4 linked regions of the Notamacropus eugenii genome follow. The protein of the gene in region 1 interacts with the protein of each later gene in a pairwise test. Links are inferred from orthologs where the notes say so. Each region holds a gene or a part of one and is shown in the gene's direction. Other genes may lie near its edges.

Region 1 (7,885 bases):
GAATGTGTACCTTGTCTGTCAGGGATGACTTACAGTCAGATAGAGCTGTGCTGAGCTGCCACAGAGAGGCTTGGGAGGGGCAGTCCAGTTCTTTGCCCATGCTAGGTACTTATGATTCTGTCCTTCCCCCCCCCTCCCCAGCCTCCTGGGCTCCATGTTCCCCATGCCTCGAGTGATCTATGCTATGGCAGAGGACGGCCTTCTGTTTCGGTCCTTTGCTCGAGTCCATCCCCGGACACACACCCCTCTTGTGGCCACAATTGTCTCGGGCATCACTGCAGGTGTGTATCCCTTCTTGCCTGCCTCCCCTTCCCTCCCATCCATGCCTCTCCTAGCCTTCCCTCCCCTTTGTGAGCCTGCTTCTCAGACCTTGTAGATGCTGGTGCCTCCTCCCACCCTCCCCGGCTGTGGAGGTGGGCCAATGCTTTCTCCTCTTCCCCCCTCCTAGCCCTGATGGCGTTTGTTTTTGAGCTCGCTGATCTTGTGGACCTCATGTCGATTGGGACGCTGCTTGCCTACTCCCTGGTGGCCGTTTGTGTTCTCATCCTCAGGTGGGCCCCCCACCCCATTTGGCATTCTTGTTCTCTCATCCTGACCCACCAGGAGGAAACCTGGCGTTGTTCCCCATGCTGTTACAGCCCCAAGCCAAGGTTTTACTCGGTGGGGGTTGGGGGAGAAGGGGTGTGTGTGTGTGACAGAGGAAACCCCAAATACTGGGGGGAGGGGGAGGAGAGAAAAGTAACTAGGTGCTGGTGCTAGTTACCAGATTCCCTCCTGCCTCCAGGTACCAGCCTGATGAACTAACACAGCCAAAGGTGGATCAGCCTGTGGAACTGTGGGCACAGGAGGTTAAGGAAGAGCGAGAGCCTGAGAATCAGCTCCTGACCCTGTTGAGCCTACTCTGCCCATCCCACTCTACACCCACCCAGCTCTCTGGCCATATTGTTTATGTAGCTGTATCGATTCTTGGTGAGCAGTGGAGTGGGGACCAGGGCAGAGCAGGATGGGGTATCTAGGGCCCCAGAGATGGGTTGATTTGGGCCTGGCATGCAGTCTGCTTTGATCTGATTTCTTCTCCCTCTCTCACCCTGCAGCTGTGGTGATAACCGGCCTGTGCTTGGTGCTGGGCTACTGGTCAGAGCAGCTGAGGGCCGGGAAGCCCACCTGGATTACTGTGAGTGCCCTGTTCCTGTTGCTAGGCATTGTGGCCACTGTCATCATCTGGAGGCAGCCCCAGAACCCGACTCATCTCCACTTCAAGGTAAGAGACTTCTGAGGGGAAGAAGCACCGAGGAGAAGCCATGGTGTGCCAATGCTAGCACCGCTTTACCATCTTGTGTTTATCATTTTAGTGAATCTTGTTTTTCTCCCTGGCACCCTCCATAGTCATGAGAGTTCCTCTTATTGTGCCCTTCCTTCAGGTGCCTGCACTGCCTGTCCTCCCACTGCTGAGCATTTTTGTGAATGTTTATCTCATGATGCAGATGAAGGCTGGCACCTGGGCCCGATTTGGGATCTGGATGATGGTTGGTAAGTATCTGTCCTTGGACGGAGGGACCTGACCTCCAACTTTTTTTTCATGTTCCTCTTAGGCCTCTTGGGTTCTGTTCTCCCACCTCACAGCCACTTTTCTTCCTCCCCTCAGGGTTTGCCATCTACTTCACCTATGGGATCCGGAACAGCCTAGAGGGTCAGAGTGAGCCAATGCCCCAGCCTGCAAAGACTGCCAAAACTTCTGAAGTCAGCCACCCTGTTGGCCCTTCTGTCTGACTCGGACAGCCTAGCGATGCTGTTGGTACAACACTGGAGATCGCCTCTGTCTTTGTGTTCTTGCTCAACTTGTCTTCTCGACACGTAGGGGATTTGGACTCTGTTGGGCCAGGTGGGTCATGAGGCCTGGAAGGGTAAGGGGGAGGTTCTTAAACAGAACTGTATTTATTATGATTGAAGGACTGACCTTTTGCTGTTTCTCGTCTGACCTTTTTTACTGAAGTCTACTTTGTGAGCTTTTTGAATTAAACAGAGGAAAATAAAATCAGGAACTGTGTATCCTCTTCTCTGGGTTCTTCCACTCCCTTTTTTCTTACCTCTCAGGCTGCCTGGTTCCTGGAACTGTGTTCTCCCCAACCAGGGAGGGAATCAGCTGTGCTTAGATGTGGGCAACTTGGTGTGGGGGTTCTAGATGGCTTAAGGCTGAGGCAAATAGATGGAGGAAGAAATGCCTTCCAGACAAGCACAGAGGGCTGGGGCCTTGGGGCCTTTTCTTTGAAGGGGAGGCAGGAGATGACAGCTCTTTTGTGACTTGGGTCTCTGGCCTACCCTCCTCACTCTGGGCTGCTCCAAGGCTGTTCTGACTGCTGGCTCAAGGGTGACATCGGAGCACAGCTGAAGATTCTCCTGCTCTTGAGCCATATGGGAGGAGAGGAGGCTCTCAGCCTGGAGCTGAGAGGTTGGGAAGAAGGTTTTAGCCAGATCTAATGCCATGAATTGACTTGTATTTCTTTTAGTTGCTTCCATTTTTTCAGCTCAAGTTGTGCCCCCAACTACTTCATCATCAATAGCTTCACGTGTAATGCTGAGGTCTTCCCACATCCCTCCTTCCCCATCACCAGGCCAGTTTATGCTAGGGAATAGCCAGACCACCCATGGCCTGGGTATCATATGGGTAGCAGCTGATGACACAGTGGGTAGAGTGCTGGGCCTGGAATCAGGAAAATCAGGAATCAGGAGTTCAAATTCATACTCACCTTTGGTTACCAGTGTGACCCCGGGCCAGTTAGTTAACATCTGTTTACGAGTTCCCTCACCTGTAAAGTGGACATAATAATAGCCACTACTTCACAGGGTTGCTGGAAGCATCCAGTGAAATAACATCTGTAAAGCCCTTAGCACAGTACCTGACATACAGCATCTAACACACTTTTGTCTACACTTTTCCCTTCTCTTGGTCCTTTCCAATGATACCAACTCAGTGCCTACAAATTCTGCAGTTTGGGAGCTCTGTTTGCAATCACTCGACCAAAGGAATCACCCAGCTCCTTGGAGGCCTTGGAGTCAGTACCTGAAAATACTTGAACATGGAAATTAAGATCCCAGATTTAGGACACAAACTTTGGAGGGCTTCAGTGGTTCTAGTTAAGTGAAAACCATGTGAAGCTTGAGATTTGCAAGGTGAGGACCACCTGATAATGTGATGAAAAGGGAATGAGGTGCTGTGTGGCCTGCTCCCCTCCGCCCCCCAGCCTGGCTCCTTTCAGTATTTAGAATGAAGAGAGAATCAAAGGGATTGGCAAAGTTTACATTCTCCACTGCCCTTTTCCAGTCACCCTGTAATCGAGTTAGAAGGATATCCTTCAGGGCACAAGAAAGAGTCTTGGCTCTTTTCTGCTCTTCTCTTCCATCAATTCCCCCCCCCCCCCCCCCCCATTGCCCTTTCCTCTCCCCTAGGTGTGTGGTATGCTTACCCCTGTGAAATTCTACCATGTGACATGATCTTTGTCCTGTGAAGAGTCAAGAATCTGAGCCTTGGGCAGCTAGGGGCCCTTTCACAACAACTGAGTGAGGAAGGAGTAGAGAAAGTTGCTCTGAGTCGAGAGGGACTGTTAAGCCTGGCAAAGTCTAACCTTCCCAGCTCTAACTCTCTATTTCTTAGGAGCTCGGTCTATGATCATGGCCAAAGCTCTAAATCTTTCTGGGCCTTTATTTTATCTATCAAATGAGTATAACACCTACCTCTCAGGACTGTGGTTGGCCAGGTGCTGGATCCAATGAGATTGATTTAAAGAGCTGCAGAAAGCTCCATCAAGCACTATATACGTGACAGTGCTTTTAACCCTCTCACTTGGCTCCCATACACAAAAGTCTCTTTAACACCAATCTCCCACTAAGGCTATATACAGCTTCAAATGAGTCTCGGTAAACCCGAAATCTCAGAAGAATCCCAATCCCAAATTCTGGTTGCAGATGCCTGAAAGGTGCAATGGAAAAATGTATGATGGTTATAAAGTCAGTGTAGTGTATGTGTGCTGGGAAATCTATGACTAGAAGAGGAGGAGAAGGGGATTGGGACCTTCCTGCCCAGTGGGATCCATGGAACATTAAGGGAAGCAGCAGGGTGGCCTCCAGACCTTCAGACAGATCCTTCAGTAATAGCTCTCCAGAGCAGAATGGTCTTTTGTGCCTTGACTAGAATAGGCTTAAGGCTCCATAGATACTCATGATTTGAATTGAGAGAGGAGGAAGGAATGCACAAGTGGAAAAAGTCTGAAGGGAGGGAGTGAAATTCTGGGAGCCTCCAGAGGAGTAACTGGGGGTCGTGCCTGGGCTTGTTGACATCATGGGGTGGCCTCTCTTTGTCTCCAGAGCTTCTCCAAGCCCTTCTGGTTGGGGATCCGGAGCCTAACTCAATTCAGCTCTCTAGCCTCTGCCCCAATCCTCTGAGGCCCTGGGGGCTGCCCAGGGGCCGTCCAGGAGGCAGGGCTATGGGGGCGGGGGAGGGGGCTCATAGGAGCTTGGTCAGGGGGTGAGTATCAGGAAGGTGGCTGTATGCAGACGGAGGGCTTGCGGGCCAGGGCTGTGTGGGGCAGTGGCTCCTGGGCAGCCGCTCTGGGCCACGTGCCCCTCCCAGCACCCCCACTCCATTCTCCTAGCCCTTCCACTTGACCTCCAGGCTGCTTAGCCAGACCGGAGCCCTCAGAGAGGGAGAAAGACGAGACCTGATTGGAGGATTCTCCACCAATTGCCTGTTGGGGAAAAGAGGCGGGGGTAGAGGCATCTTGACCAATGAGGAAGCAGCATGCTCTCCTTAACGCCCAATCACTGCGCGTTCTTCTGCATCCGCCAACAAAAGGTTACCTGGCACCAATAGAACGAGCTAAAGTAACTTTGGCAGTGACTGAGGAGACGGCAGCCCAGGGCGCTGGGCGGGACCCTCCTTCAGCTCGCTCGCTTTCCTGGGCCGCTGACTTGGAGGGCCTTGTCCCTTCGAGGCCTCCGCTTGCTGGGGCGCGTACGTCCTCTTCTGTCACTAGGTTCGTGGGTCCCAAGGGGCGGCGAGGTCCAAGGGGAGGAGGGGGCCCGGGAGGCCGGGTGGGGGGGCTGAGGGCCTGAGAGGAGGAGGGGCCCCAAGACCCAGCAGGGGATCCACGAGGCCAGGTGTGGGGGGCTAAGTGCCTGAGAGGAGGAGGGGGCTCCGGGAGGTCAGGTGGGGGGGCTGAGGGCCTGAGAGGAGGAGGGGGGCCCCGGGAGGCCGGGTGGGGGGGCTGAGGGCCCGAGAGGAGGAGGGGGCCCTGGGAGGCCAGGTGGGGGGGCTGAGGGCCCGAGAGGAGGAGGGGCCCCAAGACCCAGCAGGGGATCCACGAGGCCAGGTGTGGGGGGCTAAGTGCCTGAGAGGAGGAGGGGGCTCCGGGAGGTCAGGTGGGGGGGCTGAGGGCCTGAGAGGAGGAGGGGGCCCCGGGAGGCCGGGTGGGGGGGCTGAGGGCCCGAGAGGAGGAGGGGGCCCTGGGAGGCCGGGTGGGGGGGCTGAGGGCCCGAGAGGAGGAGGGGGCCCTGGGAGGCTGGGTGGGGGGGCTAAGTGCCCGAGAGGAGGAGGAGCTTTGAGATGCGGCAGGGGATCCACGAGGCCAGGTTGGGGGGCCGAGGGCCTGAGAGGAGGAGGGGGCCCTGGGAGGCCGGGTGGGGGGGCTGAGGGCCCGAGAGGAGGAGGGGTCCCGAGACGTGACAGGGGATCCACGAGGCCAGGTGTCCGGATCTAAGTGCCTGAGAGGAGGAGGGGGCTCCGGGAGGTCAGGTGGGGGGGCTGAGGGCCCGAGAGGAGGAGGGGGCCCCGGGAGGCCAGGTGGGGGGGCTGAGGGCCCGAGAGGAGGAGGGGTCCCGAGACGTGACAGGGGATCCACGAGGCCAGGTGTCCGGATCTAAGTGCCTGAGAGGAGGAGGGGGCTCCGGGAGGTCAGGTGGGGGGGCTGAGGGCCCGAGAGGAGGAGGGGGCCCCGGGAGGCCAGGTGGGGGGGCTGAGGGCCCGAGAGGAGGAGGGGTCCCGAGACGTGACAGGGGATCCACGAGGCCAGGTGTGGGGGGCTAAGTGCCTGAGAGGAGGAGGGGGCTCCGGGAGGCCAGGTGGGGGAGCTGAAGGCCCGAGAGGAGGAGGGGGCCCTGGGAGGCCGGGTGGGGGGGCTGAGGGCCCGAGAGGAGGAGGGGTCCCGAGACGTGACAGGGGATCCACGAGGCCAGGTGTCCGGACCTAAGTGCCTGAGAGGAGGAGGGGGCTCCGGGAGGTCAGGTGGGGGGGCTGAGGGCCCGAGAGGAGGAGGGGGCCCCGGGAGGCCAGGTGGGGGGGCTGAGGGCCCGAGAGGAGGAGGGGTCCCGAGACGTGACAGGGGATCCACGAGGCCAGGTGTGGGGGGCTAAGTGCCTGAGAGGAGGAGGGGGCTCCGGGAGGCCAGGTGGGGGAGCTGAGGGCCCGAGAGGAGGAGGGGGCCCTGGGAGGCCGGGTGGGGGGGCTGAGGGTCCGAGAGGAGGAGGAGCTTTGAGATGTGGCAGGGGATCCACGAGGCCAGGTGTGGGGGGCTAAGTGCCTGAGAGGAGGAGGGGGCTCCGGGAGGTCAGGTGGGGGGGCTGAGGGCCCGAGAGGAGGAGGGGGCCCCGGGAGGCCGGGTGGGGGGGCTGAGGGCCCGAGAGGAGGAGGGGGCCCTGGGAGGCCGGGTGGGGGGGCTGAGGGTCCGAGAGGAGGAGGAGCTTTGAGATGTGGCAGGGGATCCACGAGGCCAGGTGTGGGGGGGCTAAGTGCCTGAGAGGAGGAGGGGGCTCCGGGAGGTCAGGTGGGGGAGCTGAAGGCCCGAGAGGAGGAGGGGGCCCTGGGAAGCCGGGTGGGGGGGCTGAGGGCCCGAGAGGAGGAGGGGTCCCGAGACGTGACAGGGGATCCACGAGGCCAGGTGTCCGGATCTAAGTGCCTGAGAGGAGGAGGGAGCCCCGGGAAGCCGGGGGGAGGGGGGGGGGGGCCGAGGGCCCGAGAGGAGGAGGAGCTTTGAGATGTGGCAGGGGATCCACGAGGCCAGGTGTGGGGGGCTAAGTGCCTGAGAGGAGGAGGGGGCCCCGGGAGGCTGGGTGGGGGGGGGGCCGAGGGCCCGAGAGGAGGAGGGGGCCCTGGGAGGCCGGGTGGGGAGGCCGAGGGCCCGAGAGGATGAGGGGTCCCGAGACGTGACAGGGGATCCACGAGGCCAGGTGTCCAGATCTAAGTGCCTGAGAGGAGGAGGGGGCCCTGGGAGGCCGGGTGGGGGGGGCCGAGGGCCCGAGAGGAGGAGGGGACCCTGGAGTGACCCAAGGCCAAGTCAGGCAGGGAGGGCCAGGCAGGGCGCCCCTCTAAGGGAAGCCCAGCCAAAGTGTGCCTTTAATTTTCTAGGTGCTGGTGATCCAGAAGTGTGTCCACATGGAGGGGGAGCTTCATTTTGAGGAGTTGAAAGGTACAGCGTGAAGTCCAGGGAATCTCCGCTGAGGGGGCCTTGGTGTCCTTGTGATCTGTAAAGGCAGCCACCTTCAACAAATGACATCAACAGGCAGGACTAAGGAGAGGGTGGGACCAGGCCTGGTGGGTTTGACAAGAGGCCTGAGGGGCCTGGTGGACTCCCTAGGGACCCACTGGCCACTTGTCAGGCTCTTGACCAGGGGAGTTTACTGATTCACCCATGGTATAAAGCGAGCTTGCTAAGTATGAGTCATCATTAGACTCCTGAGAGGCAACTGTAACGAGCCTGTCTTGGAATCAGGCAGACCCAACCTTAAGTCTTCCCTCTAATATATTGACTGGCTCCCAGGCAACTTCCATGTAAGACTAAGGTTCAGGTGAGTTGCTCTGGTCAGCATCAGTGGAGGGAATTTCCACACTAAGAGT
Region 2 (6,886 bases), on another chromosome or scaffold:
GAACATAGGTCATTCCTTAAATAGAAGACAGTGCCACAATGGATAACGACCATGAGGATGACTCACCCTTTCCAGGCTCTGCCTCCACTTTCTCCCTAATTAGCCAAGGAACAGACTAAAGAATCTACCAAAAGTCTTAATGAAGTGGCATACCTTGTGCCCTACCCATTTATGGGGTGATTTCTAATTCCTTGGAGGAGGGCAGTAAAACTGTTTAAGATTTATAACATACAAAGTTAATAAGTTACTAGATTTGGAGTTGAGGACCTGGATATGAAATTTAAACACAGGTCTGACCTGGTTACTCTCCTGTTCAAGAAATACCCATGGCTACCTCTTGCATATAATATAAAAAACAAACTCCTGTGTTTGGCTTTTCAAGCCCTTCACAATCTGGTTCCAGCCTACCTTTTTAGGTTTAGTGCATATTATCATCCTACACATATTCTACATTCTTGTGAAATTACCATGTTTGGTGTTTCCTTTAAATGACATTCCATCTGACATCTCTATAACTTTACGCAGACTATCTCCCAAGCCTTGAATGTACATCTTCCTGAGGTTGACCTGGTTTCTCTCATGAGTTCCAGTCCCAAAACACTGACTGCCTTTTGGACATAGATGTCCCACAGATAACTCAAATTTAGTATGTCCAAAACACACAAAAGGAAGATGACAGGGAGAAGAGGAGGGAGGGGAGGTACCCAGGTGCTGGGGAATGAAGGAGAAGTCCAGAGAAGTCCAAAAGCACCAAAAGCAGTGTAGCTGGTGGGAAATAGGGAGAAGAATACATTGAACCCTTTTCTTAAATAAAAGCCTTACAGCCTATGGCCTTGACCTATAGCCAAGAGTGTCCAATTAGAGGGGCCAAAAAATGTGAGTACCAGGCAGATTCAATCTTTCAGGATAATGAAAACCCTGAAAAGGGAAGGCATGGTAGAAAGGTCCAATGAAATCCAAAAGCAGTGTAGTAGAAGAGAAAGGGGGAATCACCATCTTTCCCATTACTAGGTTGGCCACCTCCGTGTTATCCACAATTTCTCACTCTCTCCTAACCTACATATCAATCATTTGCCTAAACTTGTTGCTTCTTCATCCGCAATATCTCAAACATACAACCTCTTCTTCCTACTCAGAGGTCCTCACTCACTCACACACTCCCTACTCACAAACCCTCATTACCTGTGACACATAGGAGATGCTATATAAATGCTTATTCTCTCAACTCCCCCCTCCCTGCTCAGTAGACTCCTAATAGGTCTCCTTCCCTCAAGTCTCTTCTCTCTCCAATCCATCTGGCACACAGCTACCAAAGTGTTATGCCAGAAGGATAGCACTGACCATGTCAATCCTCTTTTCAATAAAGTTCAGTTTATTTATTTACCTCTTGGACAATGGCCCTAAATCTGAAATCTGTGAGGTTTTTTTGGTACAAAATTTTTTGATAACTGTATTTTAACATAATTGTATATTTTATACTTTCATGTATTTCATTTTATGCATTTAGAAACATTATGAGGAGTCTATAGGCTTCCCCAGACCGCTAAAGGGGTCCATGATGAACACAAAAAATGTTAACAACCCTTGCCTTAGGATCAAACATAAACTCCTCTGGAGTTTAAAACCCTTTACAACCCGGCTCCAAAGTATCTTTCTTGTCTCATTATATATTACTTTCATTCTGGTACCCTAGACTAGCCAAACTAGCCTTCTTATTCTTCATTATAAAGGACTCCATTTTTTTGTCTCCATGCTTACCATTGTCTCTTAGAATATGTAGTTTCCTTCAAATCTCAGCTTATGAATCAGTTTCTGCAAGAAGCTTTTCCTGATCCTCCCTGCTCCTGAATCTCCCTCCCACTTACCTCCAATACTTAACATCTGTTTCTTATTTATTTTGTATATGTGTGTATGTATGTATGTATAGTACACAATCAATAAATGCTATTTATTGATTGTGTACTTAAGAGTGTAATAGGTTATTAAGTGGATCAGACAAGATCAAAATCTATTCGCCACAAGGTCCTTCTCTCCTTCCTCCAACCTAGCCAATGTGAAACAGCATCCATCAACCTCCCTCAGTAGCCAGTCACAAAATCAATTTTCACCATCAGGAATTTAGTTCTCATTCAACTGAAAACCCACTGTGCTCTAGTTTAGAGAGTAATTTCTTCTCTTTCCCCACCCCCCTTTTCTGGGAGATTAAGAACAACAGGTTGAAACTGCCCCAAATACCATTTAAAAATATAGGTGCACAACTTGGTAACAAACCTCTTGCTCAGAAAAAAAAAGGCAGGACAATTACCTCAGGATAACATGAGAAACAGGCAGAATACATATGCCTTCACCTACTCATATAATTTCAGGAACCCTGGACAAAGTCTCATCCTTTACCCCATGGTTGGTTGATGCCTTCAAATATCAACATTAGAGATAAATTTTTTTTGACTTCAGGTTTTGTCACCTGTGAACATGTAGATACTCTCACAGATGGGGAAAAGATTGTATTAGTGGTTGTTTGCAACACAATATGGGTAAACTTAAAAGGCAACAAACTTAATGCTGTTTTATCATCATCACTTCTTAAGAAAAGTTATAATAGAGCAGGGCTTCTTAAACTTTTTGCCACATTTCAGAAATGCTGTGATAGAAAAGAATGTGGAGTTAGTAACAGGAAGCAAAAAGGAAAGGTGGGATGGGAGTGGGAGACAGAGGGAAAAGCTATTGATTGCCTTTTGACCCAGCTATACCACTTCTAGGTCTATACCCAAAAGAGATCAAAGAAAGAAGAAAATAACTTTTATATATAAACAAAAATATTTAATAGAAACTAAGAAGTCCATTAACTGTGGAAATGGCTGAATATATTGTGATAGATCACCATGATGGAATACTGCTGTGTTGAACAAAATGAGGAAATATATGATTTCAAGAGACATAGAAAAACTTTTATGAATTAATGCAGAATAAAGGAAGCAGCACCAGGACAACTTATAACATCACAATTACAAAAACAATTTTGAGGACTTAATAAACTGATAATGAAATGAGTGGAACCAGGAGAACAATTTTGTGTGAGAACGCTGTAAAGCTCAACCTTGAAAGCTGTATTATGATCAATACAATGACCCTTAATGATTCCAGGGGACACGTGATGAAATGTTTATTCATTACAGAGAGGTGACAGATTTAGGATGCCAAATGAGATATAATTATATCTACATCTATATTGTGTATACCATTGAAGGAATTTATTTTACTTGACTATGCATATTTGTCATAATAAATTTTTCTTTTTTAGAGAAAATATTTTTTTTTAATGGGGGTGGTAGTGCTACAGATGTGAAATGTGCACACTTAGATGAAGTCACTATTTTATTAGTGTAATTAACTGTATTTCTTTGTTATGGAGGCCTCTCACTGAGTGGGAGTGATCTGTAAATGTAAAACCAAAACACATCAATAAAACTTAAAAAAAAAAATGAACCAAGTCAAACAGGGAAATTTTGTCATTACTATTCTAAATTTACTACACTCTTAAACTGCGTAACAGAAGTTCATTGTGTCCCATACAATTCTCTGCTTTTCTTCTTTGTGTACTGAAATGTTTACAGCTTATTAAGTTCATAATCAAAATTTTAAAAAAGAAAAGAAAGGAAATCCAACTCCTCTAAATGTCATAATTCCGTGCAGAAGGCCATCCCCCCACCCCCCACCCCACCATGCTGTCACTGGTGCGGAGCATCCAGCATCAGAAAACACTCTCATACTGCTGCAAGGTCGCCTATTCAAGGGGTTCACAAGGGTGCAAAGAGGACGCCACCACCGGAATGCACAGGCGCAGATACGTCATTCCCCGTTCTGTCTGCTACTGTTCAGTGCCCTGCGAATGTTTGGCGTTGCCATGGTTGCACAGCCCTCGTGCGAGTTCCAGTCGCCAGGGCAACGGGATAGACAGAAGCTGGGCTCTAGAAGGCGGCAGCGGCTGTGGCGATGATGTCCAAGCCTGTGCACGGGCTGCCCCTCCTGCCGGGTTTCTCCTTCAGCGACCCCAGGGTGAGGAACAGCCCAGCTCCAGCTGGGCCTCGGCACGCCTACTCCCACTCCTCACCTTTTCTAAGGGCAGCTAGCATCCCCAGCTGGGCCCAGTCCCAATTCTTTGCCTCCCACAGCCCATTCCCTGTACCTCTCCAGCCCAGCCCAGCTTCCAGCTCCACCTTCCCCCTCCAGCTGCCGACGTTATCCTTCTTCCAGCTCCACCTCCCTTTACCCAAGCTGCATCCCTCCTCCAAGTCTTTTTCTGCGCCACCCATCCCTTCTCCCAACCTGTCTCCCACCTCTAGCTGTAGACTTCTCCCCCAATCAATCTTATCCTCCCACGACCATCTAGATGCAGCCCTCAGCCCCACTTTTTTCCCTTCTTTCAGACCGATCTCCTTCCCCCTCCAGTCCTCTCCTCTCAAATTGAGAATACCCTGAAACATGATATAAAATTCAAAATAGGCTTCATCTTTTCTCTCGAGGCTTACCCCCAGCCTCAGTCCTCTCTACCAACTCCCATCCGTTCTCTCAGGTCAATCTCCTACTCCACCCCCACCCCCCAACCTCAACCCTCTTCCTCCAACTCCCATCTTTTTTCGTAGCCTAAAGTCAGCTCTCTCTACAGACCCCCATCCCTTCTCCCAGAACCATCTCCCACACCTTTCCCTTCCCATCCAGAACATCTTCCAGCCCCGAGGTCCATCTCTACCCCCCAGCTGCAGTTCCCGGCTTCATTCCCATTCCTTCTTCCAGCAGCAGCCCTTTCTCCATGCATTCCCATTCAGTGCATTCTTTCCCTCAACCCCATCCCTATTTCCTAGCTTCTTCCCTCTTTCCCATCTTCGTTCCCCCATCCATTAACACTAATAATTGACATTTACACAGCCTTTTGTAAAGGTATTTATATAAATTCTCATTTGAGCCTATCCCATAGCCCTCCTAAGTCTCAACCTTGTTCTTTTTCCTCAAAACTCCATTCTTCCTCATCCCAGGTCCAACTCTGTTGCTTCCTCTCCCTCTATTCCTAGCCTATTCCTGTATCTCTCTTCTCCCACGTCCATCTCTCTTCCTTCCAACTCTGTCTCTGAGATCCTCTACCTCTTCTCTTATCTCCATCTCCATTCCTTGCCTGCCCTCTCCACCAGTGGTACAGTATAAAGAGCACAAGCTGGACTGTGGAGTGATCTGGATTTAAATCCTGCTTCTCATCCTTTCTAGCAATGCCACAAAGTGACATCCCTTAACCCATCTGAGCTTCAGTTTCCTCAGCTGTAAAATGGGGATCACAGAATCTAGGGGATGGAAGCACCCATTACATCTAAACAAGAATCTTCTCTATGGCGTCTTCAGCATCCAGCCTCCACATGAAGACCTCCAGTGAGAGGGGACCCACTAATTCCTGAGGCAGCCCATTCCACTTGTGAATAGGTCTAGTTGTTAGGAAGCTTTCCCTTACATCAAGACTAAGTCTGTTTCTCACTACATCCATCATTTCTCCTACTTCTGCCTTCTAGGACCAAATGGAAAAAATACAATATCTCTTCCAGGTCATAGACCTTCAAATACTTGAAAACAGCTACCTATCTTAGATAGGGTGCTAAGTTTTCTTTTCTCCATAGGCTAACCAGGAGGTAGGTACTCTGGGATAACGGTAATTGTTGTACTTACTTCAATAAGTTGTTTTGAGAGAAATAATTAGTAAACCCATATTATGAATGGTAGCTATTATTTTTATAACTCTGCCTCTCCAAGTCTTCACCCCACCTAAGCCCCCTTTCCAAGTCTTTCCTACCAACCTCTGTTAGTGCTTTCACCTGTAAAATGAGATGATTAAATACATATAGCACTTTCTTCACAGGATTGTTGACAGACATGCACTTTGTAAATCTTTAAGCATTCATGATAGAAAATGTGAGTTACCATGCCTCTTCCTTCGGACTGCTAGCCTCATTCCATCTTACTAACTCTAGCTGTCTTCTCCCAGCCCCATCCATCTACAACTTGCTTAAAGGCAAAAGAGACCTTCAGGAAACAAAGTTCACCAATTGACTTGGTCAAGCAAAGCTGTAAAAGAGGGGGAAAAAGTAATCACTCTGATGAAAACTAATCTGACTGGTTGTATACTAATGTTAAAATCTCCTTCTTCATCAACATTTCTTATACTCTTTGAACTTTCTTTTCCCTTCCTCCCTATGTTATCCTTCCCCATTTGTCAGTGTGTCCCTTCCTCTACCCCAGTCAAGATACCGACCCCATCCCTGATCCACTTATACCTTCACATCAAACTGTCTGACAGAATCTCCTCTTCCTATAGCAGACTAGTTGCTTCCTTTCTAAATTTCCAGTTTTGCTTGACCAAGTTAATTGGTGGGTTTTTGTTTCCTGGAAGGTCTCTTTTGCCATTTAGCAAGCAGATTGCACAGAAGGAGCCAAAAGTGTACATACTTTACATTTGAGTTTTCCAAGTGCATGAAATGCTTTGTATTCAATGGCACAAAATGGCGATGTATTTCTCTTGTATTGCACTTAGATGTCAGATTTGGTGAGGGAATAAAAATTATGGGATTCCCTCCCCTTGTTCATTGTGATTATAGGGAAATTGTGAAGTCCTTGCTTGTGTTGATCATCTTTGACCTTCAGAATTAGATGCAAGTTGAATTTTCTGCAATTTGAAAATGATGCTAAAAATTTGCTGGGGATGGTGAGTTAGTACTTAGTAATGAGTTGAAAGTTTTTTGCATATGAGCCTGTGGCCATTCTTAGAGGCAGGCAATTTGAGTGACTTATCAGGCAATGGCTTTCTGCTGTATCCATTGCTGTCACCTAAACAGAATGAACTGTTAGC
Region 3 (7,733 bases), on another chromosome or scaffold:
GAATACACTACAGGGCCAGACACATTGATGAACATGGATACATGGACGTATACACAGGTAAACAGATCTAGAGACAGATGCACCCACAGACATAAACACCCACAGACACACCCACAGACTAGAGACACACACAAACACACAGACATCCACATTAATCAGATACCCAGAATTAGACAGGCTGAAACAGAAGAGTTAATGCTTGGTGCCTTATTGGTGTAGGTTTACAACCATTTTTTTTATGGGGGGTGGGGGAGGCTCAGTCAAGTTCCCAGCATCTGGGAGGAGGGAAGGGGGACTGAGTCAGGCAACAATCACTCTTCTTAACCCAAGACTGTAGTCCAGCACCTGACTGCCTAATGAATCACCCCTGCCCCCACCCGTACCCCAAACACACACAAACACACACATACACATACACACTCCCCTTCCTCCCAGCATTTAGGCTAGGGCCTGGCCCTGCTCCGTCTCCTTGTCATATCCCTCTATCACCTCCTTGGCATCAAGTCCCCTGCCTCCCCAAGCCCTGGCTCCAGTCTCCTTCCACCCTCTTGGATCTGGGGATGCGGACAAGCCCTTCTCCATCAGTCCCAAGTGTTGGCTCACCCCCGAAGCATCAGTGGGAGAGGGTGGGGGTCGCGGGGGGGTGGTTGCAGGTTGAGTCCCTGGCTCCAGAGATCTCCCACTCAGTGCCCACCCTCTTACCTAGCCTGGCACTTGCCCCATCCCTCCCCATCCCCGTTCTCCTTGCTCATCCTGGGGCCTCTTCCTCCTGCATCCCTACATCTCCCCGGATTCTCTGGACCTGGCCTGCCCCATCTCCCGGCCCCGTGGTTCCCGTGCCCTCCTCCACCTCTCCCCTCGTCCGGATCCCCTGCGCCTCTCAGCTCCCCTTCCTCCACCCAACACCCCTCCCTGCCCAGCCAAGTCCCCCCAGTTTCCCCATTGCCCCCGTACCTGGCCTGCCAGGCGCCGGCCCCCCCATGCCGGGCGGAGCCCGGAGCAGGAGGAGGAGGAGGGAGGAAGGGAGAGAGAGACAGAGAGATCAGGGGGAGCGGAGCTCGGGCCTGCCGCAGAGACAGCCCCGCCTCCAGGCCCGCCCCCAGACCCGCCCCTCCACGCGGGCCGGGGCAGCGGCGGGAGCTGGGGCGCTGAAGGGAGACTGAGGCGTGGAGGCGCGGGCCGCGAGTGGATGGGCAAGGGTGAGCGGGGCGGAGAAGCCCGGAGACGGCGAGGGGCCGGCCCCGGCGCCGGGGCCTTCGAGCGGCCGCTTGTCTTCAGGGCTTCGCTTGACCCGCTCCTCCGCCGACCCGGGAACCTAAGTTTGTGGCCCCAGCCGCGACCACCTCGGGCTGCGTGCGGCTCGGGCGCCCCGGTGCGCCTTGGCGCGGGGGGCCCCCTGGTGGCCGCGTGCGGACCTGCAGCCGCCGGCCCAGCCCTCTTCACTCCTTGTCTATTTCACAGCCCCCTCCAGCCCGGGAGCCGCCAGGAATGTGTGCTGGCCCTGCCAGGGAGGGGAAGCTTACTGAGGGGATCCCCGGCCCCCCTTGGCTCCTCTGTGAAGCAAGGGGCTTGGACAAGGTGTTCTCAAGGCCCTTTCCGGCCCTAACATCTTGCGGTTTGGAGTTGGGGATCTTGCAAGTTTCAGGGCTCCCCCCAAGGCAGGCCAGCCGGGGGTGGGGCGCTGTAGTTAGATGGAGAGACCAGTAGGGGTAAGCAGGCTTCTTTTCTGAGAGACAAAAGAGACCGGCCCAAGACAGACAGATGGCTGTACGAATAGACAAACACACCTCTCCAGCAGGAGGGGCTGTTCGCCTTCTAGGTCTCCTGAAGAGGAGAAGGCTGGGGGGAGCTGGCTTCATCCTTAACCCATCGACTTTCCTTTCCTGCTGTACCTGGCGTCCTAAAAACCTGGACCTTGCTTCTCCGTAACCCTCGGCACCCCGGAATAGCACGAGCTCTCATCCTAGGACTCGTGCAAGGATTACTTTGGGGGGCAAGTCAGTGGTCCCTGATCATGTTAATTACCGCCACTGATCGCAGCACTTAGCGTCTGTCTCTATGAAGTAAATTCCAAAACCGTGAAGACCTATCCACCTCCCCAATCCCTACCCTCACCCACCTCCTAGAAATCTGAGATCCCACAATTGGTGATTTATTCTTTTGCCTTTAGGTCTTAACTTCTGTTAAAATACCCTTAGGCACAGTGAAGTTCCTAGAGAGGAGAGAAAGCATATCTATCTCTTCCCTCTCAGCAGAGAGGTGAGATTTCTAGGACAGAGTATTGTATATATTCTCAGGTAAAGTTTCCGTATCAGTTTTCCCTTCATTGTTTTTCTTTGTCACAAGGGAGGGTGTAGTGGGGGTGGGGAGGGAGGGAATAATGATGATGCAAAGACCAAGTGATCAATAAAATGAGTTCTCAAAATAATCATGAAATAAAACATGCCTGGAAGATATAACACTATTGTAATAGAATATAAGCCCTTTGAGGACAGGAACTGTTGTGTTTTTCATCTTTGTTTCCTCAACGCCTAGAACTGGGCACTTTAGTAAATAAATATTTGTTGAATTGGATGAGTTTGTAAACTGAAAACAGTTTTTTGGGGGAAAATAAAGGGAAGATAGTGATGGGGGGGGCAGAGAACCCCAGGGTTTAAAGCGATAGTTTTCTTACTTGGCTATTGTTTCTAGGACTAGTTACAATCATAATTATCCAAAAGCATTTCCTGAAAAAATTTGGATTTATTTGAATTTATGCCTTTATATTGAGATGGGTGCTTAAATACTGTGACTGCATGCAGGGAATACTGTGGGTGTGGTACTGGAAGAGCACTGTGCCAAAGAGAGGGGTAATTGACACTATGAGAGGCATATAACAGTTATTCTAGGAAGTATAGAGTAGGATCTGTGGGGGCCTTGCTTCCAGGGCCTTACAGGAGAAGGGAAGGAAACAAGCCACAGTCCAGATTTCTTTTAGCAAACAGAAACACACATACATATATGGACACATACATGTATGTGTGTATGTATGCATATAAATATAATACATGTCAGTTGCATCTTACACTTTGTGACTGACCCTATTGGGGATTTTCCTGGCAAAGATACTGGAGTGTTTGTCATTTCCTTCACCTGCTCCTTTTGCAGATGAGGAACTGAGGGAAATAGGGTTAAGTGACTTGCCCAGGGTCATGTAGCTAATAAGTTTCTGAGGCCAAATTTGAACTCAGGAAGAAGTCTTCCTGACTTCAGGCCCAGAGTTCTATCTACTGTGCTACCTAGCTGCCCACATCTATATGATGCAGTATTTTGTGTGTGTATACACATGTGCATATGTACATATACACATATGCATCTATGTATATATATACAATATTAGAAATGCTGTCAAGAATTTGAAGGGGAGAGTTCACTGGATCATGTCTATTAAACCGAAAGGAATCTTAGAGCTTATTGAGACCAACCCCCTCATTTTACAGTTGAAGAAACTGAGGTCCAGAGAGGTGAAGTGATTTGCCCAAGGTTGTATGGCTAATAAGTATATGAGGTAGGTATCAAGGATCTTTCTTGATAAGATTTGTCTAGGGAGGACTGGAAGTCACTCCAAAGATCAGTCAATCAAGATTTATTAAGTGCCTTGTTAAGCCTTAGGAATACAAAAAGAGGCAAAAAATATTCTCTTGAAAATATTCAAGGAGTTCACAATTTAATGGGGGAGAACAACCTCCCCCCGGAAAGAGGGGATAGTAACTTCCCTTGAACTCAGGAAAGTGAAAGGATACTTAAAACTACTATCCTCTGAATGTTTTGAGGGGGAGGAAGGGGAGAGGAGAGCGGGGAGTATAGTATAGAAATTACAAAGTATGCTTTGGGACATTTTTGCTGTCCAAAAGTGGAACAGGCTGTTTTACTTGTTGTGTGACCATGGCCAAGTGACTTAAACTTCTTGAGCCCTAGTTTCCTTATCTGTAAAATGGAAATAATAACCTGTAAAGCCTATCTCACAGATGTCATGAGAATGCTTTTGCAAACCTTGAAGTCATATATAAAAGCTAACAATGATTATAGAGTAGCTTTAAATGGCAATGAATTTGTTAGAATGGAAGTTCTCCATGAGGCATGATGGGACCTTGACCTCTGAGGTCCTTTCAGATTCTGAGAACCTAGAAATCTATGAAATCTCTTTATGCTAAATGGCCTGTCCTTGAATTTCTTTGGGAGAAGCAAGGTGGTAGGGTCGTAAAATGAGAAAATAGGAATTTGGATTCTTTCTAAGAGGAGTTGTGTGTGTATCTCTGTGCACAGATATTTATGTGTATGTATACATATGTATATATATGTATGTATGTATGAGTATCTGTGAGGGCATCTGTGAATCTTTGTTTACCTGTTCATATTTCTACAAATGTGCTGAGTCCAAAGATATATATATACACATACATACATACATATATATAATACATACGTGTGTGTATGAATAAATATCCTCTGTGTCAGTTCACGTATATGGACATTTATCCGTGTCCCCGTGTAACTGCAAGGGAATTGATCTTTCTTCCAACCCAATCTTGACTCCCTAAAGTACTGGGAAGAGCCTACCTCACCAGGCAGGTGTGGGGTTAAGAGGACCCCAGTGTTTGGGGCCCCCTCTATGAGCCACAGTAGTTCTGGAGTAGGGCCAGCTGGCAGAGAGCCCCTAGAGGAGGGCGGGCAGGCGGGAGAGAGTGAGAGAGAGGAAGAAGGGAAGGAGGAGGAGTAGAACAGCAGTCAGCAGGGCTGAGGAGGCAGGACTTCCTGGTGTGGGGGTTGTCAACAGCTCAGAGAGAGAGAGACAGACAGACAGAGACAGAGAGGAGCTAGGGAAATTGAGAAAAAGAGACAAGAGTCCAAGAGAGAAGAGCTGGAGACAAGAGAGAGACACATGCTCGATGAGAGAGACAGAGAGACAGAAAGAGAGAGAGAGAGAGCGCGCGAGCGCGCTCCACTGTCAGAAGGGAAAAGATTCCAGAGAGAGTAGCCCTCGGCTTCTCTCCGACCAGCTGTGCTTTCAGACCTAAAGGCCCTTCACCACCATAAAGGCCATATTCCTCTGGGACTGAAAGCAGTGCTTATTATTTTTTGGAAAACAAAGTTGCTGTGGAGATGACTTGTGGGTCAAGGAAAGGCCTCTACGGACTGTACTGCCTGTGACCACCACCCACCTCCTCCCTTTTCTTGGAGCTTAGGCTGGGAGGCCCCACTCTCCTGCTCTCCTGTGGACAGTCTGTTGGGGCATCTTATGCTGCCAGGATCCCCAGGTCAGGTTTCTCGAGTTGCTCTGGGGAAATTTAGAGGTGGGATTGTAGGGGGGTGTGTGTGGTGTGTGTGTGTGTGTGTGTGTGTGTGTGTGTTTGTAGGGGTGTGTGTGTGTGTGTGTGTGTGTGTGTGTGTGTGTGAATTTAGAGGTGGGATTGTAGGGTGTGTGTGTGTGTGTGTGTGTGTGTGTGTGTGAATTTAGGGGTGGGATTGTAGGGGTGTGTGTGTGTGTGTAGGGGGGTGTGTGTGTGTGTGCGTGTGAATTTAGAGGTGGGATTGTAGGTGTGTGTGTGTGTGTGTGTGTGTGTGTGTGTGTGTGAATTTAGGGGTGGGATTGTAGGGGTGTGTGTGTGTGTGTTTGTAGGGGTGTGTGTGTGTGTGTGTGTGTGTGTGTGTGTGTGTGTGTGTGTGTGTGTGAATTTAGGGGTGGGATTGTAGGGGGGTGTGTGTGCGCACGCATGTGCCCAGTTGGGGTAGCCGAGGATTAAGGAGAAGTTTTAGCACCCCATAGATTCTGAAATGGGTGCTAGTAGCACTGAAGGGAAGCTCTCCTCTCCCCTCCACCCCAAGGTAGACTAGGGTGTGAAAGCCCATGCCAGACCAGAGCTGTGAAGTGGTGAGCTCACCTCCCTTTCCTGTAGACCCAGATTCCTTGCTACATCTCGAACTTGGGACTTGGCTTGTCTCTTTCTGCACAGTACCAATAATAACCCATGTAATCTGTTTGTTTTGTCTTTACTTCCTCCAGCTCCTTGTCTCTACCTCATTCTGTTTCCCATTCTTTTTTTTTCTTCTACCTCTTGTGGTTCCTCTATCTCTCTCTGGTGGTTTCCCTCGTTTCTCCCCCACCCTGATCTCCACTGCTCTCCCCACAGAGGAAGCACCCAGAGTGTCTTACTCCCATAACACCTACTCCCTCCCCCAGTGACTCTCTAATTTTTTTCCTCCTAGTTTGCAAGTTCAGCTCTGGAGTCCAACAGCGGCAGCAGCAGCAGCAGCAGCAGCAGCAGCACTGGCAGCAGCAGCCAAAGGAAAGCCTGCCCATCCTCCAACTCCCACAACTTCTCTCCCTGCTATTCCTCAATTTCAGAGGCGGCCCCAGTTCCTTGAACTCTCCCAGCTATGTTGGACCCCGATGTTGCCAGGGGCCCTGATCCCACAGCTATATGGCCTCCTAGTGCCAGGGGCGCCTGAGCGCTGCCTGGAGAGAGGCCTCTCCTCTTCGTGCAGCTCCTGTCCCATTTCCGAGGGACCATGAGCGGGGGTAAGAAGAAGAGTAGTTTCCAGATCACCAGTGTCACCACAGACTATGAAGGTCCTGGGGGATCTGGGGGAAGTGACTCCCCTACAGCTATGGTTCCCACCTTACCCACACCTCGTCTTCCCAATGGCGAGCCTAGCTCAGAGCCGGGAGGCAAAGGGACCCCTCGAAATGGCTCTCCACCTCCCGGGGCCCCAGCGTCACGTTTCCGGGTAGTGAAACTTCCCCAAGGACTGGGGGAACCATATCGCCGAGGGCGCTGGACATGTGTGGACATTTATGAGAGGGACTTGGAAGCCCCAGGACTCAGCCGGCTCCTGGAGGGAGTTCGGGGAGCCACTGGAGGGACTGGTGGTCGCTCTTTGGATTCTAGGCTAGAGTTGTCCAGTTTGGGCCTGGTTCCCCCAAGCCCCCAACCTCAAGGCCCAACCAACTGGCTGCGTCCACCCCCAACTTCCCCTGGCCTTCAAGCCCGATCTTTCACTGGGGGACTAGCTCAGCTGGCAGGGGGCAAGGGGAGGGCTGAAACACCACCTCTTCCAGCTTCCCCACCCCAGCAGCACCCCCCGGAGCCCAGCGATGGGGACAGTACAGGGGTACTGGTACCACATGCCTCAACCCAGGTGCCCACCCTTAGGGTAGAGGCCGAGGTGGGGGCCCCAGCAGTGACTCCTCCAACCACCCGAAAGAAGGATGGAGCCTTTTGGCTGAGGAAAGAGGGGGAGGAACGAGGCCAGGTAAGAGGCAAGGGTGGGAGGGGTGCACGAAAAGGGGGTCTCTCTGCAACTTAATTTTCTTCCTTGGACTTGTGTTAGTCTCATGCCTTGTCCCAGTTCCTTCCTGGACTTCAGGTTCCCCTTTATATCTATTCTGTCCTCCTCAGTTTTTCTTTTTTTGTACCTCAACTCTCCCATCCTTATATTTGACTCTTCCAGTCCCTAATACTTCTCTATGAACCTGAATTTCCATCCCTTCTCTCAATTCCATTTCTCCCTCTTTTGCTCTCTTCCCCTTCTCTTAAGTTTCTTTCTCACTTTTATTTCAGTGTTGTGTATCTCTTTTGTCCCTCCGTATCTTTCTGTTTCTCCATCTGTTCTTCTGAATTATATAGTTTTCTCTGGACAAAAGTTTCAGAAATGGAGGAGACTGATTGATAACACTAGGCTCTGTAGGGGAG
Region 4 (6,975 bases), on another chromosome or scaffold:
CTATAGATGTGGTCTGAGCAGAGCAAGGTATGGGGAAAAAAATCACCTCCTTATGACTGACAGCTATGCTCGTTAAGCCTAAGATTACATTAGCGTTTTTGCTGCCACATCATAGTGTTGACTCATATTAGCAGTGCATTAAAACATCTCAACCTTTTTTTCAGGCTATCCCTATCCTATATTCGTGTTGAAATTTGAACCAATGGTAAAACTTTACACTTACAAGATCTTTTGGATGTGACAGTCAACCAATTTGTTAATGAACCCCAACTTTGTTTCATCTTCAAATTTAACAACCATTCCATCTCTCTACCTTAAACAGTCATTGATAAGAATGTTAAACAGCATAGGGGCAAACACATAACCCTAGGGCACTCCACTAGACTTCCTACCAAGTAGGTATTTGACTATTATTGACTGTGGTTTGAATCCAGCCATTTAATCTGTTCTGAATCCATCTCGTTGTTTTATTGATTAATCTTTCCATTTTCTCCCCAAAAAATAATATGAGGTGTTTTGTTTCTTTGTGAAATATTTGAGTTAAGACTTGGTAAATAAACTAACTACACACGTACTCACACATTCAGTCATGTCTGTCTTCATTCCCCTATTTGTTTTAGGGAGTTGGTTTTTTTTCTGGCAGAAATACTGGAGTGGTTTGCCATTTTCTTCTCCAGCTCACTTTATAGATGAGAAACTGAAGCAAACAGGAATAAATAGGTTGCCTGGGATCACACAGCTGAGACTGGATTTGTACTAGGATTCCATCCTTTGCTCCACCTAGCTGCCCATAAGTTTAGAAACAGCATAAAAAAAGGAAATTAATTTGGCATCACCTTAAAGCCACATTAACTCTTTGTAATCACTGCTTCCTTTTCTGGATTTTCATTAAACATCTTTTTGTTTTATATTTTTCCCAGTAACTGAAGTCAAGTTCACTGGTACATAGTGACTATTCTCAACTTTTTTTTTTTTTTTAAATCAAGGCATTTGCCTTTCTCTCAGGCCATGGTACCTTCTCCTGTTTTCCATGATGCTTCAGAAATCACATCCACCAATTCTTTCAGTACCTGAATATGTAATTCATATATTCCAGACCTTTTACTCTATCCCCATGGGTATCAGCTTTTGGTTAGTTTTTTTGTTTTGTTATTTCCAGTACAAAGATCGTTCTACTTAGCAGATAAACAAAAGAAGTATTGAGTAGCTCTACTTTTGTTGTCAGTTCCCATCCACCCCAACCAGAAGTCTTACCCACTATACTTCCTCTTTCTCTACAATAGTTATTTAAAAAAATAAGCAAAAAACTCTCATCTTTTTGCTCTCTTTATCTTTTTGAACCTGCCTCAGCTCATTCTGAGATTGAACACTACTACTAGGACTTTATGGGACCATGCTATGCCATGATCTTATATTTATTCTGCTGCCTTCCTATTTAGCATCTTCTGACCATATCTTTTTAAAATATGGTGAGTTTCCTATACATCCATATTCTTTCCAGACAATTCCTGTCCCTCTTTACAAACTCTCCACTTCAACCAAAAAATATTACTTCTATATTTCCTAGATACACCATTCCATCTCTTTCTGTGCCTTTACAGACTATTCCTGGAATGCCTTCCATTTACTTTACTCCCTAGGCCAATATGCAGGCCACCATGTAGTCCAGCTCAGAAATCAAACCCTGAAGGACTTGATCCTTTCGTGCCTGGATCTCTTGCCTTGGAGAGTGATTGCTAGTTGGTGGTTGCCTCAATTGCCCACTATGTCTAGGACAGGCAATCTTGCCTCACTTTACCAATTCTGGAATGAAAAGCAAATCAACTCATTATTACTCCTAGAAAGGGTATATCAATCTACTCCCTCATGTCTCCATGTACCATCCCTATAGTTTCCGTACCAAAAAGTCCCTCCCTTGTCAACACTTTCCTGTGTTTGTTACTTCTTCCATTAAAATTTGTTTCCTTGAGGGCTTCGCTCAGTGCTTGGAACAAAGTAAAGTGTTTAATAAATGCCTTTGGTTTTTCATCCTTACTTCAAACTTTAAGGAATCTAATTTCCTTCAAGTGCTGCCTTCTTTAGGAAGTCTCCTCTACAACTGATAGTCTGAGAGAGCAGGGGAGACATGGACTTGCTCTTGGGTCACATCACCAGTATGACAGAGGCAGGTCTTCCTGGCTCACTGACCAGCTTCTCTATTGTCTCTCTTTTGTGTTTATATTTGGTTTTTATCTCCATACTTGACATGTTGCTGTTCAATCCTGTTGACTCTCTGTGACTCCCACAGACCATAACATACCAGGCCCTTCTCTTGAAGTCTGTCCAAGTTCATGTTTGTTGTTTCCATGACGCCATCTATCCATATGATCCCCTCCCTTTTCCTTTTGTCTTCAATCCAGTACTTGGCATATAATATGCTTAATAAATGCGTGTTCCTTGATTTAACTCTGAGGTTCCCAAACTTTTTTGACCCACTGCTCCCTTTAAAAAAAATGAAAAAACTCAGCATTGCCCTAAAAATCTACTTTCTTTAATCCTTTAATGGTTTTCTAAAAAAAATTGCATCAATTCAAAAAATATAAAATAATTGTTTTAAAAATGATGCATCTTAAATTTAATAATTTATTGTAAATTTGTGGGGTTTTCCTGCATAGAAATTTTGATGAACTATATAATAGTATTAAAAACTAGTCATTACATGCACATATTCCTGCCAATGCATATGCTCACTTCTGGGACAATTCATGATACCCTCACCTGCCAACACTTGCTTGTTAAGACCTGTCAAAGGATTTGATGACTGAGAGGTTATAACTTGAATTTTGTGTGTTTATTTGGAAAATAATGTAATCACTACAACTTTAACTATTACACAACAGAGGAAACATGGACGAAAGGTTTTTCAAAATTTTCTTCTTTCCTTAAGCTTCCACAGCCCCTTTACTTTTACTTACCCCTCCCCCCCAACTGCTGCTACTGCCCCCTCCCAGGATCGTTCCAGTGCCCATAGAGAAGCAGTATCACCCACTTTGGAACCTCTGAAACCAAATCGTGATTAATTTTGCCTAGAGTAAATCTTATGAGAAGGAGAAGAGGAAGCAGCCTAGCAGGGCCTAATAGCATTCTTTTTTTTGTTGGCCAGTCCTTGTACCCTCTCCCTGCCAAGTTCTAGGTACAGGGACCCCTAGACTGATCCAGGCCTATCTAGGTAGTTGGGTAGGACAATTAAATCTCCCAGCCAGCCACAGGTGATTGGAGACAGGGAAACAGCTCTTGTAAATCTAAGGACAAGACACGCGGGGTGCGGAACCTCCTCCGTGCCCACTAAGACTGAGCCCCCCAGGCCAGAAGCCAAGGACTCCACGAAGCTCCCTTTGGCAACTGGACGCCCAGTTTCAGCTTCTTCCGCGCCTGGGGACCAGTTCTGCCCCTCCACGCGCGGCATTCTTCGCGGGTGGTGAGGGGAAGAGGGGAGGTGGGTCCTACGTGTAAGCTAACGGACCTCAGTGCCCAGCAGGGCGTATCGTTCAGATCCCAGACGGACCCACCTACGTCCCTAGGCCTGTTTCCTTCCCTATAAAAATAAGAGCATGTGCCCAGATGGACTTTTAAGGGCCCTTCCCACTCTCGCATTCTCCGATGCCAGACTCCCCAGGATCGGTTCGTTCACGTTCCTCCCGGGTCCAGTCTCTCTCCTCTGCCCTTTCAAGCCTCTTCTCTCCAACTCCGCTTCTGCCACTCCTCCCTCTCCTCCCCGTCCTGGGGAAGACCGGGCCTCTCCCGCTGGCCCCGCCTCTCCCCGTTGGCTCCTCCCCTCTCCCCGCTGGCTCCTTGCCTCTCCCCGTTGGCTCCTCCCCCCTCCCTGTGGCCCCGCCTCTCCCCGTTGGCTCCTCCCCTCTCCCCGCTGGCTCCTTGCCTCTCCCCGTTGGCTCCTCCCCTCTCCCGGTGGCCCCGCCTCTCCCCGCTGGCTCCTCCCCTCTCCCCGCTGGCTCCTTGCCTCTCCCCGTTGGCTCCTCCCCTCTCCCGGTGGCCCCGCCTCTCCCCGCTGGCTCCTCCCCTCTCCCCGCTGGCTCCGCCCCTGCTCGGCCGGCCGGCCTCCTAACCCTCGGAGGGAGTCGCGGCCGCGGCCGTCGTTCGCGTTTTGAGCCGTCCGTGCCGCCGTAGCTGCCTGGAGCCGCAGTTGCGGCGAAGCTGGAGTTGCAAGCGCGATGCCCGGGGGACCTGCGAACCGGACGGTCTCCGGCTCCCGGGGCTGGTGAGGCGGGGCCCCGGACGGGGGGTGTGTGTGTGGCGCGGAGGACCGGAGGCCGGAGATTTTGGAGAAGCCTGGGGGAGGGGGCGGAGGGGGGGTGGAAAGTGGAGACCGAGGTGAGAGCGGCTGGGACCGGGGTCTCCCGGCTGTGGCTCCCGGCTCCGCTGCCCCCTCAGGCCACCCCCTGCCGCGCGTTGCCATGGGAACATTGGAGGGAATCTCCCCGCTCCCTCCGGGCCAGTCCCCCCGCGCCCCCGGATCGCGCGGACGGAGGGTGGGCCTGACGTCTCGCCCCTCCCCACCCGCCGATTTCGGGGCTTCTCCCCTTCCCCTCCCGGTCGTCGTTCCTGGCCGTGTGAGCAGCCCGGGGGGGCCCGGGGGGTAGCCCGGAAAGAACCTCGGAGCCTGGGCCGGGCCGGGCTGATGTAGTGACTCCCTCCCGTCTAGGTCGGTGCTGGGGCAGATCGGAAGACCCCATGGAATGAGGAGCGCGTGCCGAGGCCGGGGATCCGCCTGAGCCCCTGCGCCCTTTGGGGTCCCTCGCCATGATGTCTGTGGAGGGCTCCACCATAACCAGCCGGATCAAGAACCTGCTCAGGTCCCCCTCCATAAAACTGCGCAGGAGCAAGGCTGGCACCCGGAGGGAGGACATCAGCACCAAGGTGAGATTCGGTTCCCTTGGTGGAGCTTGGGGGGTCCGGGGCGGGGGGCAGGCCGTGAGACTGAAGGGATCAGAACACTTAAGTGGGGTAATTTCCCTGATTTCCAGTCATAGCCTCTCCACAGATTGATCATGCTTGGGTAAGCTACTGGCCCTGTTGTGACTCAGTTTCCCTTCCTGGGAGGGGACGTGGGTAGCTTGTGTGCCTGTTTAGAAACAGGGTTGTGACTAATGCTGAGTCCTCCCAGAGGGCTGCTGAGGAGCAGGTGAGAATTCGTGGAGCAGGAAGAGGATTATGGAAACATTTAGCCTGGGGGTTTGGCTTGGATTTCAGGTGCTCTCCTGGGTAACATCCCCAGAGCTCTGGGCAGATTTATTTATGCTAAAGCATGAACAAAACTGGTCAGCTTTTATTAGAAATTATGAACAAGAGGAAAAAGTTAAGGGGTCTGCCTGGTTTCTGCTGGCATAATGAAGTTGATGCCCATCAGAAACTGGAGGTAGCCCCCTTGCTCTTCTTACCATCAAAGTATAGTAATTATTTCATTTCAAAGCCTGGAGGAGGGACGGTGCCGAATGGGCAACATCTCTGGCTGTAAAAGGATCTTGGGAGTTCAGCCTTGAAGTTAGTCCTTTCCATTTCTTCTGGTGTTTTTGGGTTTTTTTGCGTTCTGGTTCATGTGCTGGACACATTTGCTGGACTCCACAATCTTGGGAAGGCCAAAGTAGAGTGAAGTTTGATCCCTGAGGGAAACCAGAGCTTCAATTCCCCGGATCAGATTAGGTTTTTGTGTGTTATTAGTCCTGTAAACACAACAGCTCTGTGAAGTACAGGACTTGCCACAGGGAGAGTCGTTTTGAGACAGCTACATTTTATTGCTTTGCCTGCATCTCTTCATTGGTTGAGCAAACCTGGCAGCCAGTGATTTAGTGCTCTACTATCCAGTGTGGTAGAGTTTTAAGAGAGCTCTGTTCAGATCCCTGTGCCTCAGGAGAACCTTACTTGGACTTAGTCAGTGGGTAAACAACCCACTGTATTCTAGCAAAGAAACTGCCCTGGATTGAAACTGACCCCAGGTTTCCATGCTGCTGTAGTTCAGGGATTTGTAGCCCTCCGTGCAGTTTGCTGTAGTTGGTATAAATATAGATTTGATCCCTACTGACTCAACTTTGTGGGACCTTTGACTCAATCACTTACACTTCCTTAAGCCTCAGTATCCATATGTGTAAATTGAAGGGGTTGAACGAGATGTTTTCTGAGGTCTCTTCTAGTTCTAGCTCTGTGGTCTTATGATCTTGTTGACTTACTTATCTAGATTGGATTTTTTATGAATGTTGGGTTATCCTTAAAAATGCTGTGTAGATCTGAGTCAGGTAGCTTGGAAATGATCAACATTTATAAATGTGTCTCTAGCCCGAATGTGATGGCTGATAATGGTGGAATTTGGAGGACTTTATAAAGGGAGCTTAGTCAGCAAGTGGTGTGATGCTTGTTCCATTTTTGCTGTAGAACCTAGAAAGTTCTGTGGAAGCTGCAGCTTTCTGATTCAGGGAGAATTTAATACAGATCTTGGAAACCCATGTTTCAATGATGCAAAGACTTTAGTAAAGTTTGTGCCCCTTTGACCAAAAAGAGTGAAGTTGTGATCTAAGTAAGCAGGGATTCTAGGAAAGGTCTTTAGTGTGTAAAAGAATAGCAGCTGCTTTTATATGACCATATTCCTGAAGACTAGGGTCCATCCGCTAGTTTGAGGATAAAAAGCACCCTTTTAACTCAGGCAGTGCTTAAGACCTTTTTAAAAATTTGACTAGGAACCCTATATTTATTTTGGGAGTTTCCTGATTATCCAAACAGCTTCCAAAATCCTGGAGTTTTCAAGGGGGCACTCTCAGGGTGCTTGTGGGATTAGTTCTAAAATGGAATTTAAAGATGGAAATAATGGGACCCTATACTGTCATCTTTTCAAGGTGAGAAGAAATATACTATCCATATGTTGCTTCCCTGGTAACGTAGTGACAATAGCCATTTTGTAGCATAGCATAGGCCAGCCCAAGTGGGATT

Evidence for each region.
Region 2: the proteins of TEX11 (region 1) and EFHC1 interact in binary tests that used the Homo sapiens proteins (3 or more experiments, as listed by UniProt). The two-hybrid records come from large-scale screens. The link is inferred for Notamacropus eugenii from reciprocal best matches to the Homo sapiens genes TEX11 and EFHC1.
Region 3: the proteins of TEX11 (region 1) and TSC22D4 interact in a two-hybrid assay, tested with the Homo sapiens proteins (2 studies listed by BioGRID and IntAct). The two-hybrid records come from large-scale screens. The link is inferred for Notamacropus eugenii from reciprocal best matches to the Homo sapiens genes TEX11 and TSC22D4.
Region 4: the proteins of TEX11 (region 1) and MAPKBP1 interact in binary tests that used the Homo sapiens proteins (3 or more experiments, as listed by UniProt). The two-hybrid records come from large-scale screens. The link is inferred for Notamacropus eugenii from reciprocal best matches to the Homo sapiens genes TEX11 and MAPKBP1.

Annotation. Positions count from the first base shown.
Region 1 is NC_092879.1:100,227,669-100,235,553, forward strand, and holds the start of TEX11 (testis-expressed protein 11), read left to right. Parts: upstream 1-4,870; 5' UTR 4,871-5,030; intron 5,031-7,396; 5' UTR 7,397-7,423; coding exon 7,424-7,457; intron 7,458-7,885. Other genes in the region: SLC7A3 (cationic amino acid transporter 3), read left to right, coding at 142-281, 449-551, 785-969, 1,095-1,261, 1,422-1,530, 1,646-1,770. UniProt on the Homo sapiens protein: Regulator of crossing-over during meiosis. Involved in initiation and/or maintenance of chromosome synapsis and formation of crossovers.
Region 2 is NC_092873.1:118,739,797-118,746,682, forward strand, and holds the start of EFHC1 (EF-hand domain-containing protein 1), read left to right. Parts: upstream 1-3,873; 5' UTR 3,874-3,993; coding exon 3,994-4,056; intron 4,057-6,886. UniProt on the Homo sapiens protein: Microtubule inner protein (MIP) part of the dynein-decorated doublet microtubules (DMTs) in cilia axoneme, which is required for motile cilia beating.
Region 3 is NC_092873.1:80,327,277-80,335,009, forward strand, and holds the start of TSC22D4 (TSC22 domain family protein 4), read left to right. Parts: upstream 1-4,733; 5' UTR 4,734-5,297; intron 5,298-6,246; 5' UTR 6,247-6,549; coding exon 6,550-7,293; intron 7,294-7,733.
Region 4 is NC_092878.1:27,979,501-27,986,475, forward strand, and holds the start of MAPKBP1 (mitogen-activated protein kinase-binding protein 1), read left to right. Parts: upstream 1-3,964; 5' UTR 3,965-4,255; intron 4,256-4,699; 5' UTR 4,700-4,797; coding exon 4,798-4,914; intron 4,915-6,975. UniProt on the Homo sapiens protein: Negative regulator of NOD2 function. It down-regulates NOD2-induced processes such as activation of NF-kappa-B signaling, IL8 secretion and antibacterial response. Involved in JNK signaling pathway.